2 linked regions of the Canis lupus familiaris genome follow. The protein of the gene in region 1 interacts with the protein of each later gene in a pairwise test. Links are inferred from orthologs where the notes say so. Each region holds a gene or a part of one and is shown on either strand. Other genes may lie near its edges.

Evidence for each region. The genes of interacting proteins can lie anywhere in the genome.
Region 2: the proteins of GORAB (region 1) and SCYL1 interact in a two-hybrid assay, tested with the Homo sapiens proteins (2 studies listed by BioGRID and IntAct). The link is inferred for Canis lupus familiaris from reciprocal best matches to the Homo sapiens genes GORAB and SCYL1.

Annotation. Positions count from the first base shown.
Region 1 is NC_049228.1:28,153,543-28,157,174, reverse strand, and holds part of GORAB (RAB6-interacting golgin), read left to right. Parts: intron 1-2,058; coding exon 2,059-2,160; intron 2,161-3,632.
Region 2 is NC_049239.1:52,179,421-52,183,669, forward strand, and holds the start of SCYL1 (N-terminal kinase-like protein), read right to left. Parts: upstream 2,837-4,249; 5' UTR 2,771-2,836; coding exon 2,660-2,770; intron 2,313-2,659; coding exon 2,172-2,312; intron 1,998-2,171; coding exon 1,875-1,997; intron 1,796-1,874; coding exon 1,569-1,795; intron 1,163-1,568; coding exon 1,072-1,162; intron 996-1,071; coding exon 840-995; intron 1-839. UniProt on the Homo sapiens protein: Regulates COPI-mediated retrograde protein traffic at the interface between the Golgi apparatus and the endoplasmic reticulum. Involved in the maintenance of the Golgi apparatus morphology.

The DNA of each region.
Region 1 (3,632 bases):
TTTCTCTTTTAAATTCTAACCTAGAAGTGTAGTGAATAGTCTTTGAAAGAATAGCTACCCCATAAATGTATGGTAAGCCAGTTGGTGTTGGCATGTTATACGGGTTATGTCACTTAGTTTTCACAGCAGTTTCCAGTACCTGTTCATGATTTTCACTTTATAGATGAAATCTTGGACTCAGAAAAGATACTTTATTCCCAAATCAAATACATAGCCAATAAGTAGAAGAGTTGGGGTTCACTTACAAGTCTTTCCGGATCCAAAGTCTCTGCCCTTTACCCTCACTAGAAACAGTTCTTATGCACAGTCCTCACCTCATCCCCAAATCAAACCAGTCTTCACTTTTCAGACTCCATATACATTGGCCCAGAAAAAAGTACTTGTGAAGAGATACAATATGAAGGGATGCTCAAAGGAAAGTTGAAATTGAGAGGAGTAATAAAACAATTCACCTGCATCATTAGATTTCTTTTTATTCTTTATTTAATGTGCTTATGTCAGAAACTACCTCCAGAATTTAGTTTAGAAACATTCTTTTGGAAATTGCCATTCTATCACTTGTGAATTCTATAGCTTGGTTTTAATATCCATTCTTATTTGTTTCCTCCTGATTGATCAGGATGCCATTTGTTTCTGTTTTCCATTTTCTGAGTCTTTCGAAGTATCGTATGATTTCTCTGATCCAGATTCTGTGCTCTGAGTTCACAACCAAGAAATCATTTTTACAAGAGAAATAAAGCCATATGAATTATGAGATCAGCATTGAATGAGTGCATATACTTAAATGTTTTTAAGTGTAGTTTGCCAGCACCAGCCTGACACAAGTTGGGGAGGGTGGATTTAAATTAAGCTGGACAATTTAGATTGAATGTTGTTAGGAAAATAAATTTTTTTAGGTACTCGGGAGAATTTTCATAGAAGACATGCAATCTCAGGAACTATTGTTGACAAAGAGGAATTCTGAGTCTATAAGAAAGGGAAAGGGAAAGCTCTATCCTGAAGAGTGCTCAGAGATGGCATCTCACTTCTCTGGAAGATCCAAAAGCGAGGCCAGAGAATAGTGGAGAATGAGGGAAGCGAAGAAGGATATGGAAGTTGAGGGTTCCTATCTATTGAGTTCAGTGTAGTTGGTTATCACCAAGGCCTCTGAGGGAGAGATGCCCTGATCAAAACAACATTTAGAGAAAATGCAGGTGTCAGTGTTGTGGCGCATTTGGAAGAGGGTGCTCACTGAGCTGGAACTCTGGCATCTGGTGAGAAGATGCCTGCAATAGTTAAAATGAAAGTGAACCAGTGCTAGCACCAGAGTGGAGGCTGTAGGAATGAAAAGAAAACGATAAATTTAGAAGTGGTTACTGAGTCTGGGACTAGAGGATTTTGAGACAATGGCCATAAGAATTGACAATAATAGGAATAAATAGCTTTGTCATTATGTTGAGTTGACATCAAGTTGTTGATTTTATGGAAAATTTTCAATATACCTCTTCCAGAATTGGACAGACGGAAGACTGTTTTCAGATCTTTGAAGTTTCTCAGTAGCCCAGCATTCAAATCTTAGTTCATAGTGTTCCACTCTGTTTCATAATGTTTGAGAACTGAGAGAATTGAAAAAATAAAATAAGCATTGTTTGTTGTCCTAAGGGTGTAAGGTGATAGAGACTTTCATTATAGAAAACTCTAAAAGATAGAATGTGACATTAGCTACATACCAATTTATTTTGATCTCCATTTTGCATATAATACATAATTAACTTATACAACTTTCTTTGTACTCCTAAGAAATGCCATAGTACTCTGGCTTCCAGTTTGTGGCTTCCTAGATTATACACATATAATGGATTTCAAAGGGCCAGTTTATGTAAGCCTTCTTTATTTTAAATCATAATCTTTGTTCCTATTAGAACAAAATAATGAGCTGCAGATGGGTTCCTTTTAAGAGGGTTTTTGAAGGAAAATATACATAATCTGGTTGATTACATTTTATACATAGGGAACTGAGACTGGTAAGGTGTAGGATAGGGCTTCAGAAACTCATTTTTCCTTTTTTTTTTGCCCTAGGCAAGAAAAATCTCGTTGGGAAGTCCTCCAACAAGAGCAACGGCTAATGGAAGAGAAAAATAAACGTAAGAAAGCTCTTTTGGCTAAAGCTATTGCAGAAAGGTGAGGCACCCGAATTAAGAGTGGTTGTTTGTAACCTGCAATCAGTTCTGTCATGTTTTATATGTGTTTGCCCTTGTTTTTTGATAAATTGACATTTTCTCTACAACATTCCTTTTTAAAATTTTTTTTGTAAAGTAGGTTCCATGCCCAGTGTAGGGCTTGAACTCAACCCTAAGATCAAGAGTCACCTACTCTACTGACTCAGCCAGCCAGGCACCCCTCTACGGCATTATTTCTAAGGCTAACTAAACAAATTATGTTTTACAAATGATACTAAAATTCCAGTGTTGATTTATTAAGGAGGACTTTGTAAGCATAGATTGTACCGAATTTGTGAATACAGGTGCAATTAAAACTTCAGAATCAGCATCAGTGTTTTCAGTTTTAATCATCTACACATTCTATTTTTTTTTTTAAGATTTTATTTATTTATTCATGAGAGACACAGAATGAGAGAGAGGCAGAGACTCAGGCAGAGGGAGAAGCAGGCTCCACGCAGGGGGCCCGATGTGGGACTGGATCCTGGGACTCCAGGATCATGCCCTGGGCCGAAAGCAGGCACTAAATTGCTGAGCCACCCAGGGATCCCCTCATCTACACATTCTAATAAGGAAGCAATGACCAGTATAAGGGCACTAGCAACAAACACAGGTTTTAATTTTGACAAGGGAGGGCTTGACTGTGTGACAGGTTAGAAGAGTAAGATTGTTTATTCTACATAAGTGACTTCCACTCCCAGAAATCTTTTTTTTTTTTTTTTAATTTTTATTTATTTATGATAGTCATACAGAGAGAGAGAGAGAGAGAGGCAGAGACATAGGCAGAGGGAGAAGCAGGCTCCATGCACTGGGAGCCCGACGTGGGATTTGATCCCGGGTCTCCAGGATCGTGCCCTGGGCCAAAGGCAGGCGCCAAACCGCTGCGCCACCCAGGGATCCCTCACTCCCAGAAATCTTGATTGTATTTTCTGTGGACATTTTTCCTGAATGATTTACCTGCCCCCGCTGATACATGATGTAACCTTTTATCAGTGACTCAAGGTCACCATCATGAGCACTCTGCCATACTATGTGCGCTTCAATTTTTCTGTCACCTTCCAATGTCAGTTTGTTAGCAGTTGCTTTTCCTTTACTACATTGTGCTGGCTTCCAACAGTAGCATTGATATTTGAGCCACTTGCCAACCCTCACCCACTCTTTCTGCCTCTTTAGTTTGTAGTTTACCATGTGCTATGGCCTTAGGAAACCAAGCTCAGTCGCTGAAGCACTGATTGAGAATAAGGAGAATGAAATGCAAGCAAGCATTCTTGGCATTTTCTTTTCAGATCTCCAGAAAAGCCTGGAAAAACTATTGGTTATTGAAGCTTGTGTATGTGTCAGGGGAGGGCAAGGGACAGGGCTAGAGAGACAGACAGGTAGGTATGAGTAATTCAGAATTTCATCTGTCAAGGATATACGTATTCACAAATGGCA
Region 2 (4,249 bases), on another chromosome or scaffold:
TGTGTGCCCCACACATGGCCAGGTCAGAACGGGTATCTGGGGCTGAGCCTTCCTCCTTCATTCCCTACAACCACCTACCGGCCAGCAGAGACTACTATTATCCCCATTATACAGACCGGGAAACTGAAGTCTAAGGAGATTAAGCCAAAGATTCCTTCCTCACATCTTTCCATGTGCTATTCCCCCTGCCTGGAATATTCATTCCCAGTTATCATCCCTATGGCTCCCACCTTCCCACTCTTCAGGTCTCAGCTCAAATGTCAGCCCTGAGAGAGCCCTTCCCTGGGCGCCCTGACCCACTATTTTCCTTCCTGGTACTTACCCCTGTCCTGGGGAGTTCAAATTCCCTTATTTATGTATTTTCTGTCCCTCTCCACCAGCTAGAATCCCCGAGAGGGGGTACCTGGCCCATTTACTCCCTGCTTGATCCTTGAGGGCAGGGATCTGGGTCTGACTCCATCCCCACCCCACCACCCCCTGCCACAGCACATCGCAGCACTGGGCACAGCATATATCAGAGCCAGGGCCACTATGCACAAGTGGTTACTGGAGTGCCAGGGGAGTCCCTAAGTACCTACTATGTGCCAAACACTATGCTGTGCACTTCAGACTCACTGAATCTTCACCGAGCTCCTCTGAAGTAGTAGGTACGATTATTAGTAACAAGTGTCAGACAAGTCACACAGTAAGAGTCAGAACCAGGGTCTAGACCCAGAAAGCCTGGCTCCATAATCCATGGTTGCCTCCCAGGGTCTAGTCATGGGGGAGCCCACAAAGTGGGTAGGGAGGATGGAGTGAAGAACCCAGGACCAAAGCCCAGGATCGGCTGGAGGGCTCACCTGAATCTCTTCCAAAAAGAGGTTGGTCTCCACAAAGCGGTTGTTCATGAAGCCGCCGGGTGCCCGGCAGTTCTGCAGGAAGCGGGCTGGGTTGGGACGCACCTTGGGGTTGGCTCCAACTAGTTCACAGTAATGGGGCACCAGCGATTTGGGGATCTGTGGGAGAAGGGTCAGTGGCAGGGCAGGGCTGGTTGGCTGGCAGAAAGGGGCTGGGGTTGGGTCAGACACTCACCTTCCCAGGGTTGCGCAGGGCAGCCGCCCGAGGTAGGGGCCCATTGAAGACTTCCCAGATGAGGCAGCCCAAGCGCCACATGTCAGCTGACCTGAGGCAGGGATCAGAGCTGCTCCAGGCCCTGCCACCTGCTAGTACAGGCCTCCAACCTGCCTCAGGCACCAGACACTAACTATATGGCAAACCCTGAACTACGTCCCTCAGCTGATCCTCTCATCGGCCCTGAGAAGCAGGGTTCATTAGTCCCATTTGACAGATAAAGAAAGTGAAGCTCAGAGAAGGAAGGACATCCACCCCACATCACACATCTTTCAAACTCAGAACCACCAAAACACACCCAAAGCCTGTGTTTATCCTGCCCTACCTCTTGGAGGACCCTGGTTCCCTCCCCAGCTGGGCAGCAGGGGACAGGGGAGTGCCAACTAGTTGAGGGGTCCTGAGACTACAGGAGCTTCCAGAATAGGGTGGGCTGGGGCATGCTGCCCCCAGTCACCCACCATTTCTCTCTAACTGCTCTGCCACTGCCATCAGCCAACTCCGGGGGGTCATACTGCTCAAGTTCGGGGACCCCCTTCCGGGGGGGTCCCCCACCATTGCCCTGGGCCGAATACATGTAGTCCAGACCCCCCAGCTTCCACTCGCCGGCACGGTCCACGAACACGGCAGCCATGCAGATGTTGTTGTGGATGAGGCTGCAGTCATTTACCAGGAAGCTGAGGGCTTTCTGGGGGCAGAAGGAGCCATCACACTCCAGCAACTGAAGTCCCCCACCCTGCTCTCATCACCACTGCCCCCCACCTCACCACAATCTGGTGTAGGCCCCAGGAGAGCTCCAGCTCCTTCAAGCCACCAGCCTCCGCTCGCTCCTTGAGGTACATTCCCAGTGGGGTCACTGCCTCTGTCACTACATGGAGGCATTTGTCCGTCTGAAAAAGGAGACATGGTGTAAGAGGAAGGGAAGATGAGGGGCATGGGGAGACAGGTGGAGAAGGGGATCAAATTTGCGGGTGCTGAGGCAGGAGGGTGGAAGCGGGAAGGCATGACAGGGAGACTGGAAGAAAGCGAGGGGGCAAAGACGGGGCAGCGCCCTGGGCGGGTACCTCCAGCCCATCGATGTAGGCCAGAATGTTGGGGTGCCGGAGAGTTTTGAGGCGCTTGAAGGCAGCCTTGGCCACCTGGGTCTGCTCATCGGCCCCGGGCTTCACGTCATACACGAAGATGGACACCGGGCTGCCTGTGGCCTGAGGGAGGAGGGCAGAGGAACCTGAGGGATGTGGGCCGGGCCCAGGCGACCACGCCAGCTCCGAGATGGTGCCCAGAGCTGCCAAGCGCGGGGGGAAAGGGCCGCCGCCAGTCTCTCCCCAGGTCAGCCCTCGGGGCCTGAGTCGCGCCACGTGACCCCGGTTCCGTCCGCCTGCCGTCCCTCGGTCCTCCGCCCGCCACGTCGTCACTGACCGTCCGCCTCCCGCGGCCCGTTGCCCCGGAGGCTCCGCAGCCACGTCAGGCGGGGCGCGACGCGGCGGGGCCGGCGGCGCTGACTAGGCGAGGCCGAGGTCGGCCACGGCCTGCAGAGCGGGGCGGTGCTCACCTTCTTGCGGCCGCGGTGCAGGACCCAGGGCCCCGGCGGGCCGCCCTCTGGGGGGTCCGGGCTGAGCTCGAACGGGAAGTCCCGGACCGGGTCCCGGGCAAAGAACCACATTGTCTCCGCCGCCGCCGCAGGCTGGGGCGCCTGTGCTCCGGGTCCTCAGGCCGCCGAGCCGGGGGCGGGGCGAGGGCGGGGCGGGGGCGGGGCCGGGCGGGGGCGGGGCGGGCGGCGCGTTGACCAACTGCAGGCGGCGCGGCGGGGCCTTGCCGGCCAGGTGCCGCCGGTTACCAGGTGCGTAGCTCTAGCGGGCCACCCCAAATCTCTGAGCCTCTATGTCCTTGTATCTAAAATATAGGTGTGGTAGAGTCCACCTCCCCTCACTACCATGGGGATGAGAACTCGAGAAGGGACAGGGGATGGAGAAACCGAGGCGTGGAGGGAGCAGAGATACAGAGACAGATGGAAGAGGAAGTCATAGGCGGACGCGAAGGGGTGAAGTGAGAAGTGGGGTAGACAGAGAACTGGGGAGGACGACTGTCCCCAAGCCAGATGTTCTCTCCCACCAGCCAGTGGGCGGCTCCGGGATCCAGTGAGGCATCGGTATTGGTGGAATGACTGATCAGGGAAGAAGCCCAAAGAGACAGAGGCCCTGAGAAGCAGGGCCAAGGGATGGCAGAGTGAAGCAAAGGCCTAGGGGAGGTCCAGAAACCCTGTGGCAGGGAGGGAAGAAGCAGTAACTCTGGAAAAGAGAAAAGTGGAGGGGGAACGGCCCAGAAAGTCCAGAAGATGCCAGAGGGCCAGGAGGGGCCCCTGCTCTCCTGGGCGCAGCAGACCTGGCTGTCTGGTTTACAAGGCCAGCATCTTTTCCAGGCCCCACACTGCCTGTGCAGGCAGGCATATCCTGTGGCAAAATGGTGTTAGCAGCTCAAATGCCTGGACACTGGGCAGGCAAAGACCCCCCCCTTCAGGGGGGGATCTCAGGGGACCCAGGGTTGGGGATGGTCCTGCAGCCACACCCTACAGGGCATGGGTGAGATCCTAGAACTGATTATGAAATGTTAGTTGGGAGGCCCTCCAGAACAGATTCAAGAGCAAGGATGTCAAAGTCAGGAGAGATGGGTTCAAATTCCTTGCCTAGTGGCTCAGTCGGTTAAGCGTCTGCCCCTGGCTCAGGTCATGATCCCAGAGTCCTGGGATTGAGTGCCACATTGGGATCCCTGCTCAGCAGGGAGTCTGCTTCTCCCTCTGCTTCTCACCCCACTCGTGCTTTCTCTCTCACTCTCAAATAAATAAATAAGTAAAATCTTAAACAAACTCCTGCTCAGCTCCTCTCACTGGCTCCTCTCACCTTATCCTCTGAAAGCCTTGGCTCCCTCGTCTAATAAATCGGAATAAACAGTCCCTGCAAGTCACGTGACAGAACAGCCACTTGGCACAGACTCCTGGTCTCCCTTTCCTTATCCAAGCCCCTGTGACGGATGGTCACACAGAGGGAGGGTTGGACAGGGTGCTGGCTGCTCAGAGCAGAATAGAAATAACCACTAGAGATTTTCCCGTGCAGCTTCTATAGGAAGACAGTGAGGACTGTCTTGT